Linked DNA regions of Mus musculus. The protein of the gene in region 1 interacts with the protein of each later gene in a biochemical or structural test. Links are inferred from orthologs where the notes say so. Each region holds a gene or a part of one and is shown on either strand. Other genes may lie near its edges.

The links.
Region 2: the proteins of Chaf1b (region 1) and Asf1b form a complex in vitro, tested with the Homo sapiens proteins (2 studies listed by BioGRID and IntAct). The link is inferred for Mus musculus from reciprocal best matches to the Homo sapiens genes CHAF1B and ASF1B.
Region 3: the proteins of Chaf1b (region 1) and Asf1a form a complex in vitro, tested with the Homo sapiens proteins (2 studies listed by BioGRID and IntAct). The link is inferred for Mus musculus from reciprocal best matches to the Homo sapiens genes CHAF1B and ASF1A.

What each region holds. Positions count from the first base shown.
Region 1 is NC_000082.6:93,886,806-93,890,456, forward strand, and holds part of Chaf1b (chromatin assembly factor 1 subunit B), read left to right. Parts: intron 1-316; coding exon 317-434; intron 435-1,236; coding exon 1,237-1,340; intron 1,341-3,651. UniProt on the Homo sapiens protein: Acts as a component of the histone chaperone complex chromatin assembly factor 1 (CAF-1), which assembles histone octamers onto DNA during replication and repair.
Region 2 is NC_000074.6:83,968,134-83,970,785, forward strand, and holds the end of Asf1b (histone chaperone ASF1B), read left to right. Parts: intron 1-1,000; coding exon 1,001-1,207; 3' UTR 1,208-2,062; downstream 2,063-2,652. UniProt on the Homo sapiens protein: Histone chaperone that facilitates histone deposition and histone exchange and removal during nucleosome assembly and disassembly. Cooperates with chromatin assembly factor 1 (CAF-1) to promote replication-dependent chromatin assembly.
Region 3 is NC_000076.6:53,595,431-53,599,827, forward strand, and holds the start of Asf1a (histone chaperone ASF1A), read left to right. Parts: upstream 1-1,530; 5' UTR 1,531-1,759; coding exon 1,760-1,868; exon of another isoform or gene 1,869-4,397. UniProt on the Homo sapiens protein: Histone chaperone that facilitates histone deposition and histone exchange and removal during nucleosome assembly and disassembly.

The DNA.
Region 1 (3,651 bases):
TTTTGCCCTGCTGGTGAAGAAGGGAGATTTACTAGCCCTGTACAAATTCTTCGTGTTTTTCTAGGATCTCGTGTAGCCCAGGCTAACCTCAAACTCACCATGTAACCTTGCACTTCAGATCCACCTGCCTCAGACTCCCAAGGGCCAGATTACAGGCATGCACCACGCACCACCTAGCCATATTCTTGGATATGAGTGACTCCTCATGGCCAGAGAGTCCATTGAACAATATAAAGCATACAGGACACTCTAAAACTCCAGACATGAAGGAGGGCATGGAAGGGCCTGGTTCATGCTATACTGATTTACCTCACAGATGCCGTCATTCTGTTGTGGAAGATGAATGACAGCAAGGAGCCGGAGCAGATCGCCTTTCAGGATGAGGAGGAGGCGCAGCTGAATAAGGAGAACTGGACTGTGGTAAAGACCCTGAGGTAACAGGGGAGGGACTGTGGCCACAATCCATTTTTATTTGAAGGTATATTCTGGTTATTCTAATTTATGATTGTTTAGTTTATGACTGAGAGTGTTGTGTGTGTGAGTGCCTGCTGAGGTCAGAAGAGGGTAGCAGATTCCTCGGAACCGCAGTCACAGGTTCTGTGCTACCCGAGAACAAAACCTGACTTTTCTGGAGGAGCCAGAACCGTGATTAAGTTCCAGCCCCCAAGTGACTCTTCTTTACAGCCTGAATACCTTAATAGTTTATGTACCTAACTTAAAGCCTGTGCCTACTTTATAAGACAATAAAAACATTATAAAAATAGATTTTTTTCTTTCTATTATGAAAATAGAAAGTAAAAAAGAATCAGGTAAAAAAGAATCAAGTCTTCCCCCATCTGGTTTTTGAGCCAGGCTAGTCCAGCTGAGTAGCCCAGGCTAGCCTTGAATACTCCACCCTATCCCCTCAGTTTCCTAGTGCCTAGATTATCACGTTAGACACAGATGTCTTTGAAAACAGCTGTTTATAGCCAGGGCTGACACATCTCCATGGAAAATTCCTAGAGTCTAATTCCAATGTGTGGTTATAGACTTTGAACTTTTTTCCCCCCCCTATTTTTCAAGACATAGTTTCTCTATAGCCCTTGCTGTCCTGGAACTCACTCTGTAGACTAGGCTGGCCTTGAACTCTTCTGCCTCCTTAGGGCATGCACCACCACTGCCCAGTGACTTTGAACTTTTTGGTAGCTTTTCTCTTTTTACAGTAATAATGTTAATCCTTCTGTCTTTGGGCTCTAGGGGCCACTTAGAAGATGTGTATGATATTTGCTGGGCAACCGATGGGAATTTGATGACCTCTGCCTCTGTGGATAACACAGTTATCATATGGGATGTCAGTAAAGGTGAGCTGTATACGTATCTCATTAACATTATGTGTATATGTATGTGCACATGTATGTGCATGCAGTGCCCATGAAATCCAGAACAGGCTGCCTGATCCCCTGGAGCCAGAGTTACAGGCAGTTGTCTAGGAACCACCAAGCTTGGGTCCTCTGTGAGAGCAGTTAGTGCTCTGACCTGCTGAGCTCCAAACCAAGTGGTTTATTTCTGCTACTACGAGGAAGAAGGAGGTACGAGGTTGGGGATGCTGAGTTGGAAACTGTTTTGACAGAGGCTGAAATCCAGGCACTGCCCAGACCTTCATCATTTCATTCTGCCAGGGTCAGCCAAGTGATGAGTCCTGTTCTTGTCTTATTCTGTCTTCCAAAGTCTTTGCTTGAGAAACTCAGGTCCCGGGGTCGGGTTTCCTGGTCTATTAACCCATGTCTTGGTTACTTTTCTATTGCTGTGATAAGTCACCATCACCGAAGAAACTTATAAAAGGAAGTACGAGGTGGTTTGAGTGTGCTTGTCCCATGGGAAGTTGCACTATTAGGAGGCGTGGCCTTGTTGGAGGAAGTGTGTCACTGTGGGGGTGGGCTTTGAGATCCTATGTTCAGGTTCTGCCCAGTGCAGAAGAGACCTTCCTCCTGGCTGCCTGCAGAAGATAGTCTCCTTCTGGCTTCTTTTGGATCAAGATGTAGAACTCTCAGCTCCTCCTCCAGCACCATATCTGCCTGAATGCTGCCGTGCTCCTGCCTTGATGATAATGAACTGAACCTCTGAACCTGTAAGCCAGCCCAGTTAAATGTTGTCCTTTATAAGACTTGCCTCGGTCATGGTGTCTGTTCACAGCAGTAAAGCCCTAACTAAAACAGAAGTTGGTACCAGGGTCTCAGATATGGCTTTGATAGGCCTGATCTTGCTTTTGTTTGGAAGAACGTGGATTTGGAAGCAGTGGAATGCTTGTAGTGGGGCTTAATGGACCATCCTAGTAGGAATATGGAAGACAGTGGTGCTGAGGGTGATTTGAACCCTGGGGTCCTGGCTCTAGATGTCTCCGAGGAGAAGAACTTTAGTTTGTGCCTAGAGACTGCTCTGATATTTTGGTGAAGAATGTGACTGCTTTCTGCCCTTGTTTCAAGAGTCTTACCTGAGGCTAAGGTGAAGAGACTCGTCAGATTAATTGCATTGACAGAAGAAGTCTTAAATCAACTCAGTTTAGACTCTGTCCTGTGGCTCGCTCTTAGGAGGAATGCTTTGATCAAGTGTAGCAAGCTTAGAAAGCAAAGATACAAAATGTGTGGGTTCAAGAGTGAAGGGACACCAGGAAGTAGAATGGAACCCAAAGCCCATCCCCTGGTTAGCTTACGTGGGGCTTACGTGGGCCCCCTTGAGCCTGCCTTTCAATCCAACCTTCCTTAATCCGAGCCAACTTCCTGGAAAGTCTTTCAAGGAGAGAGATGCCCTCAGGTGTGTTAGGGAGGGCAGCACATAGGAATTAGGTTGAGGCATGTCCCCTGGGTCATGGGCACTGTGGGTTAGCAGTGCCGATGGACGGTGGGTGTGGAATTGGGGTGGCAGTGGGATGAGTGAGGAAGGGAAGGGGGTGAAGGAGTTGGGAAAATGGAGGAGTCTTTTCTCTCACCCTCTCATGGACTGAACCCAGGGCCTTAGAATGGTAATTTGAATTACTGAATATTGCTTAGTTTGAGTGAAGCCTGTGAATTTTGGGGCCAGTCTGTAGTTCTATATGGTCTAGAAGCCGCCCCTTACCAGCAAAACGGGCCTGAAGTTAAATGGATAGAATTTCAAGTTGATGCTTGTTGTACTTGGAGGTGAATTCAGGTCTAAGTCCTTCCTGTTGTGTCTGTATCCAACTGACGAGCCTGTGTGTGACAAGCTGATGGATGGGGGCACTTTGTGCTGAACACCAACCTCATTAAGACGGGAAATGAGAGAGACCAGGCACGAGCAGGCCTCTGGAAGAACAATAGAGAAATCCTCTTCCTTGAAAGTGGCAGGGTGCGGTTGCACAGTGGTGAGGAATCACAGCAAAAGAATCCCAGACCAAAGGTTGCTGAAGAATAATTCAAACGCAGAAGTAAGCGAATACAGCCAGACATAGTAGTTCATGCCGGCACTCAGTACTCCCTGCATTCAGGAGGCAGGAGAATTGCTGGGAGTTTGAGTCCTACTTGATCTACATGGTGAGTTCCAAGCCAGCTTGGACTGTAGAGTGAATTCTAGGCTAGCCTGGGCTATGAGATGAGATGTGTGCACGTGCACACATACATACATAGTTAAGGCTCCATAACTGTGTTTCCCTTTGGT
Region 2 (2,652 bases), on another chromosome or scaffold:
TAGAATATAGTAAGTCTTTTCTTCTGGAGGCATGCCTAACAGAATGAGGGCTACAGCTAGGACCAATGGAGCATACTGATCTCAGTACCCCAGCCCTGAAAGTTAGAGGCCAGCATCATCTACATAATGAGTTCCAGCCCAACCTAGGTTACATAGCAAGACCCTGTTTCCAGGTGTGTGAGGCTTGGGGAGCACCTGAGAAATGCTCAATGGTTAGGAGCACTGGCTACTCTTGCAGAGAACCTGGATTTGATTCTTAGCATCCACATTGGTAGCTCACAGCCACCTGCAATTTCAATTCCAGGGGAATCTATGCCTTCTTCTGACTTCCACAGGGATCTGGTATATACGTGACAAACAGACATCTCAATAGGAAAACATTCATACAATAAAAATAAAAATATTAAAAAAAGAAAGAAAGAGCGAGCGAATGGGCTGGAGAGATGGCTCAGTGCTCTTCCAGAGAACCCAGGTTCAATTCCCAGCACCCACATGGTGGCACATAACCAACTTTTACTCCAGTTTTAGGGGATCTATGCCCTCTTCTGGCCTCCAAAGGCACCAGGCACACATATGTGACATAGACATATTTACAGCCAAACACCCATATACAAAGTTTTTTTGTTTTTTTTTTTTAAATCAAATAAGCCAGGCATGGTAATACATATCTCTAACCCCAGTACTTGGGGGCGGGGGTTAAAGCACTTGGGGTGATATAGGCAGATCTCATGTGTTTAAGGCCCTCCTCATCTATATAGTTATAGGCCAACCATGGCTACATAGTTGAGACCCTCTCTCAAAACAACCCAAAACCAAATGAACAAAGCTAAGCAAACCCAGGATGAGAAGGCCCTATTCCTACCCAGAGTGTTCAAGTATCTCTAGGGTTCTACATCTGAGCAACAGGGGTGCTTGAGTCTGCTTTCAGGCTCAAAGTGGAGGTTTGAGGGAATAATGAACACTTAGGTGACAAGGGCTGACATTCTTCTTCTTACTACAGCTACAGCGGAACATCTTGGCCTCTAACCCCCGGGTGACCCGATTCCATATCAACTGGGACAACAATCCAGACAGTCTGGAAGCCATAGAAAACCAGGACCCCAATGTGGACTTCAGCCTTTCCCTCAGTTGCACTCCTGTTAAAAGCCTGGGCCTCCCTAGTTGCATCCCAGGCCTCCTCCCTGAGAACTCCATGGATTGCATCTGACAGGGGAGCCAGGTAGAGCTCAGTAGGACCACAGCAGTCTCCTTGCACACCTGGAGGGGACCTACAAGCCCTCAGTCAGACATGCTTGGTCATCTCAAGGATTTGGGGACCACCAGCTGTCTCCAGATCTGTCAGCCCCAAGAAAAAACAATGGGCCCCAATCTCTTCCATCCAGGTCCAGAAGAATCATCTCACTTATGACCTACTGACCTCTAAAAAGCAGGTACTTGTATTGCTCATTCTATGCGTCATTTTTCTTTATATATTATCAGTTTCTATGAGATGCTTTCTGAACACCACCTTCTGTGAGGCTTGCTTGGGCAGTGTCTGGCTAGCATTGGCCAGAGGTTATCACTCCTTCCAACTCTAGTTCTTGGGGACTAGGCAAGGAAGAAGTCCTAGTTCGAAGGCCAGCTCAATACAATGGCTATCCTTTCAGAGTGTCTAGGACATTCAGTCTAACTAGTACTACAAAACGCAAAAGTGAGCTCCCCAGGCCAATGAGGGATGTCAGGTACTTTGGTCACAGCCACCTTTTCATCTCCTGACTGAGCCTGGCTTTCTGAGAGGATTGCCCTAGGTAGGTATATTGGAGGTCCTGCTTCATGCATTCTGGCCCCATAGAGTCATCAGGGTTTGCTTTGACCACATGTTCATTCTCATGCTATACCCAAATACTCTGGGATAAAGGAGGTGTTTGGCAGGCTGACCTGAAAAACTCCCATTCCATCCACCTCTATCCTAAGCCCTTAGTTCCCTTGCTGCTACATGTATGCTATTGTGATTGCAGTGTGTATATTAAAAGGTTTTATATTAAAAGTTTTGGTTGTCTTAAGAATAAAAGCACTTCATCTAGATTGTTTTGCTTTTTTCTCTCCCCTCTCCTCCGTCCACCCACTCACACATAGCAGGCCTGGGATTCATTCTGTAGACCAGAGATCCACCTGCCTCTGCCTCTGCCTCCTCTGCCTCGAGTGATAGGATTAAAAGTGTACAATACCATACCTGCAAAAGGGTTGTTTTAATGTTGGTTTTTTTTGTTGTTGTTGTTGTTGTTGTTGTTGTTGTTGTTGTTGTTTTTCGAGACAGGGTTTCTCTGTGTAGCTCTGGCTGTCCTGGAACTCACTTTGTAGATCAGGCTGGCCTCGAACTCAGAAATCTGCCTGCCTCTGCCTCCCAAGTGCTGGGATTAAAGGCATGCGCCACCACTGCCCAGCTTAATGGTTATTTTGTTTTGTTTGGTTGTTTTTCTTTAGGGTTTATGGTGGTGGTGGTTTTGTTGTTTTGTTGTTTTTTTACGGGGGTGGGGGGAGAGGTTGGTTTGTTAGTTTGTTTTTTAGGTTTTTTTGTTGTTGTTGTTTTGTTTTTGTGTGTCTTTTTTGAAATAGAGTTTCTCTAGTTATCCTGGAACTTGATCTGAGACAAGGCTGGCTTCAAACTCAGAA
Region 3 (4,397 bases), on another chromosome or scaffold:
CCATGGTCATCTTGCCTACTACCACAGTGTGACTTTTACTCTGATGCACAAAAACAATGGTGACTGAACTGATGGACACCGATTGCCCAGCGTACTGACAATAAAAGTGGCTCTCTCCCCACTTTAATCTCCTTAAACATGGAAGGCCCTGCTTCATGATAACTAAAGGTCTTCGGACAAGGACAGATCATCCACAGCAATCCAGTTGAGTCTCAACCTGTCCAAGGAAGATTAATTAAATTCTGCACACTAGCAGAAACTTCACTTGCAGATTAATACTAAGACATAATTTTCACTCCGGATTTTATTGAATAGTTTAGTAGTTTCATTTATAAGGAAAAAGAAAAGAACCCAATGGTTTATGAGTAACACCTCCACAGTAAAAAGAATCAGTTCACATTCACAAAGGTGTTAGGTTTCCGTTTCCTGTTTCCTAGTCTACCCACAGTGGCTAAGTACCATAAACAAGCAACTTTTCCTCCAGTCAGCCTTGAAATGGTCTCACAGGCGTCACAGGCATGGAAGGTCTCCTCAGAATTGGTGTGCTGCACTTTTTCACTTATGAATGTTTGTTATAAATGCCTTGAAGAGCAAATGGCATGTTATCTGTGCTTTCTCCTTTCTCATATTCCACCAAAAATACATTTGTTGTCCTTTGGCCTTCAGACACTTCCATTTTCTCGACTTTTGACTTCTTTCTCTGTGCCCCCCCAACAACAGAAGCCTCGCTGTAACTGATCACGTTTTCCCCCTTTTATTTCTTTTTTTTTGTTTTGTTTTACATCTTTTCAGTTATTAAATGGGAAGAAATCCAACATGCAGCTGAAGATCGCATATTTTTTTTCTAGCCTGCGTGTGTGTGTGTAAAATCACCCCGCCCTCATTTTGTATCTATTTCACCGCACTGTCGTGGCCAAGAACTTGAATTCCAAAATGGCTTGCTCCTTTCGAGCTGACATGGGCTATAAAAATGCAATTTATTCCCACTGCAACCAGCCCTTCTCCCTATTCTCTACCATTACGATTGCGAGAAGCACAGACAGCTAGTTGGGCCTGACAAGGGCTGCAAAGCACACCTTATCTGCTAAATCCAGCAGAGCCAGCAAAGCCGCCGGCACTGGTGGGGGAAGCGTTAAAGGCTGGAAGAAAACCCGAAAAACCCCAAGGCCCATGCTGCGCACACACACGGGGCCGCCTCGCGCCCTCCTGCTTCCACCGCCGGCCCCGCCCACCCCACGGGTCCCGCCCCCTCCGTCCCGCCGCGGCCACGCCCGACGTGTGGCGCGGCCCCGCCGGGCGGGGGCGGGGCCTGCGTCGCCCCTCCCCCGCCGCCGGCGGCCTCCGCGCGGGCCTCCCAGCCCCTATTCCACTCACTTTGTTCTGCGCCTTTGTCCTGGTCCGCACCAGCAGGTGGAGCCGCAGTGAAAGTTTCCCGTCCGTTCTGCGAGCGGGAGCCCATCTTGCTCGCCGCCGCGGCCCTCGCTGGAGGAGGAGGGTCAGAGCTCGGGGGCAGCCAATCGCGGGCAACGCTGCTAGTTATCAGGGCAGAATGGGCTGTAGTTTAGTGAAATAGGAAAGCTGCAAAACACCGTGGAGTGCCGCCGTGTAAATAAAAAGGAAAAAAAAGTTTCTCAAGTCGCAGCTGCACGACGTCGGGCCGCGCCGCGCCGGGGCGGGGGTCTGCGCTCTCGGAGCGGCCGCGCGCGGGACTCGGTGGTGCCGCCAGCCCCGGCCCCATTGTTTGTGTTTTCTTCAAAATATGGCAAAGGTTCAGGTGAACAATGTAGTGGTGCTGGATAACCCGTCGCCTTTCTACAACCCGTTCCAGTTCGAGATCACCTTCGAGTGCATCGAGGACCTGTCTGAAGGTGAGCGAGTGGCGCCGGGCTGTCAGTTGCGGCGGCGGACGTTAAAGTTTCCCGGCCCGGCCTCGCGCGGGGTGGGCCGCGGCCGGCGGCCGGCGGGAGGGCGGCCATGCGAGGGAAACTTGAAGTTGAGGGACGCCGGCCGCGCCGCAACTTGCGAGCAACTTGCCGGGCGGAGGGAGCCATGTTGTCAGCTTTGTCTGCGGCGGGCGGCGCTCGGCGGCCCCCGGCTCGCGCGGCGCTGGCGGGGGGTCGTGCGGCCTCGGCGGCCCCAGGGCCCCACGGCCCGGTGGGGAGCAAGCTGGGCCGGTGGGAAGCGGAGCCATCTTACCCGGCGGCACGACGCCTGCTCCGGACCGCCGGGGGCGAGCGGGCCCGCGCCTTCCCGCCCGAGCCCCGCCGAGGCTGTCCTCGCGCCGCTCTCCGGCTCCCTCCACCAACCAGCGCGGAAGGCGGGCGCTGGGCTCGGCCCCTCGGCGCCTGGCTCCCGGGGGGCGGCCGTGCTCTCCGCGGGCGCCCGGGATGCTGTGCGCCGCCTCTCCCCGGGGACAGAGACCTCTCGGAGAGAAATGGTGAGGGGCTGGGAAGTTCCATGGCACCCTAGAGCAGAAGCAGGGTGCTTAACCAATTCCAGGCACTTCTCTGGCGTTTAGAAAGTCTGAAAGACTTTCTCCAGAACGTGTGAAGAAGAAGCAATTAAAATAACTCCACGTCCAAGCAGATGGAGAAAATGCAAACGTTAGCTGGGAGATAGAAGGCAAAATCCTTTCTGAAGTACATTTTACGGTTTAAAAAATGCGAAATAGTGAGGTAATACAGAACTTAGAAAGCTAAAATATGGCTTCTTAACGCTTTTCTTAGATTTTATTAAAATCAATGCTTCATTTTCAACATTTGAAACAAAAAGTTTAACTTCATTGGTGTTAAATTTTAGTTAACTAGGAGGACATCTTGGGACTTGAAAGTATTTCGACAAAATGCCTTGTATTATCCTAATCATGACGAAAAGAATTTCTCTTTTAATTTAAAAGTTTATAATCTCTTCAATGTACTTCATGTAGAATGTTAACTTTAATTATAAAAACCATTGCAATAAACCTTTAAAAATTGTAAAAAGGAAGTCACAGCCCCTTCTCTTCACTCCTTTGGCTAACCATCACTTAAAACGTACCCTGCTGTTTTTAATACGTATGTAAATTATAACGTGCATACATTTAGTGAGTGGGACATATTTTGAAGATTGACTAAACATTAAAATATAGTAGTCTCTGAATAGACTGTGATGATTAATGTAAGTGTAAGGGTGTTTTCCATTTGAAATGTAACAGCATTTCCACATCAGACCTATTTCCAACCCCAACACTGATTTTAATTTTCTTTTTCAAACTGCCAATTTATATACAAATGATCAAATATAAAGTAAGATCATGGCTGAGTCCATCCTAACTCAGTGCAGTGTTCGAGGCATTAGAAGTTCTTTACACTACAGGTGTTTCTCATATGATGGCTTCCATTTTAGGTCCACATTGTATGAGGAAGATAGGCTCTAGGATATTGTTACAGAGTCATTACACTGGATAGTTCGAAACCAGCCACCCACAGAAACCAAACAGGGTTCCATGTTAAACAGGGATCCTTTCACAACAGTGTTATTACTCAAGTCAAGAATATGCCTTCCTCTAGTACAATTCAAAACCAGCGCACCATTATTTTAAGGTATTTTAAGCTGAGTCATTCCAAAGCTGCAGAGGAACCCTTGACAAAGGTGCCATTCCTGTCTACTCCATCTAGAGGCTCTGTGGAGCAAGGAGATGGGCGTTGATTTACCCTGCAGAAGCTCGTTTCTAGGGCCCATACTTTTGTTGTACTGTGACTTGTTAAGTTACTGATCAACGTAGAAATTCCTCTACAGGTAATTTTGAGTTTATGATTTGTGTCTACCTCCAACGTACCAATTAGCCTCCTTATTGTCAGGAATCCACTTGGTAGAAGGAGAGAACTGACTCCAACCAGTTGTCCTCTGACCTCCACATCAGTACCCATATATACAGAAACACACTTAAACATTTTTAAAGAGACTTTAAGTAGGGGCTTTATTATGCTTGATCACTAAGCCTATACGTTTAATTGGCCCTCCTTCAGTTTCTAAGGCTTAATACTTGCAGTGCATCAAAATTGACCCTGTGGCTTTATACTTTGAAAGTTCAGGCCTGTTCTGATTGCAAAGACTGTATATTTTCTACTAGACCACAGATTTTCCCAACAATGTAATTAACTTAAAATTTCCTTGGTAGTATCCCTTCCACCACATATGGAGATATTTTCTGGCTGGGATTACCATGAGTAAATGGAAAAGTTAACTTTTAAAATAAATGGATAATTTTCAGATTGAAACTCTTGTAGAGCCACAGCCCTTCACCATAACTCATAGAATACAGAGGCATAGAAAAGAGAAACCGGCTTCTAAACACATTGATAAATAAGCATGGCATCGCACTCAGACTCAACCTGTGCCCGTCCCTTGTTCTTAGT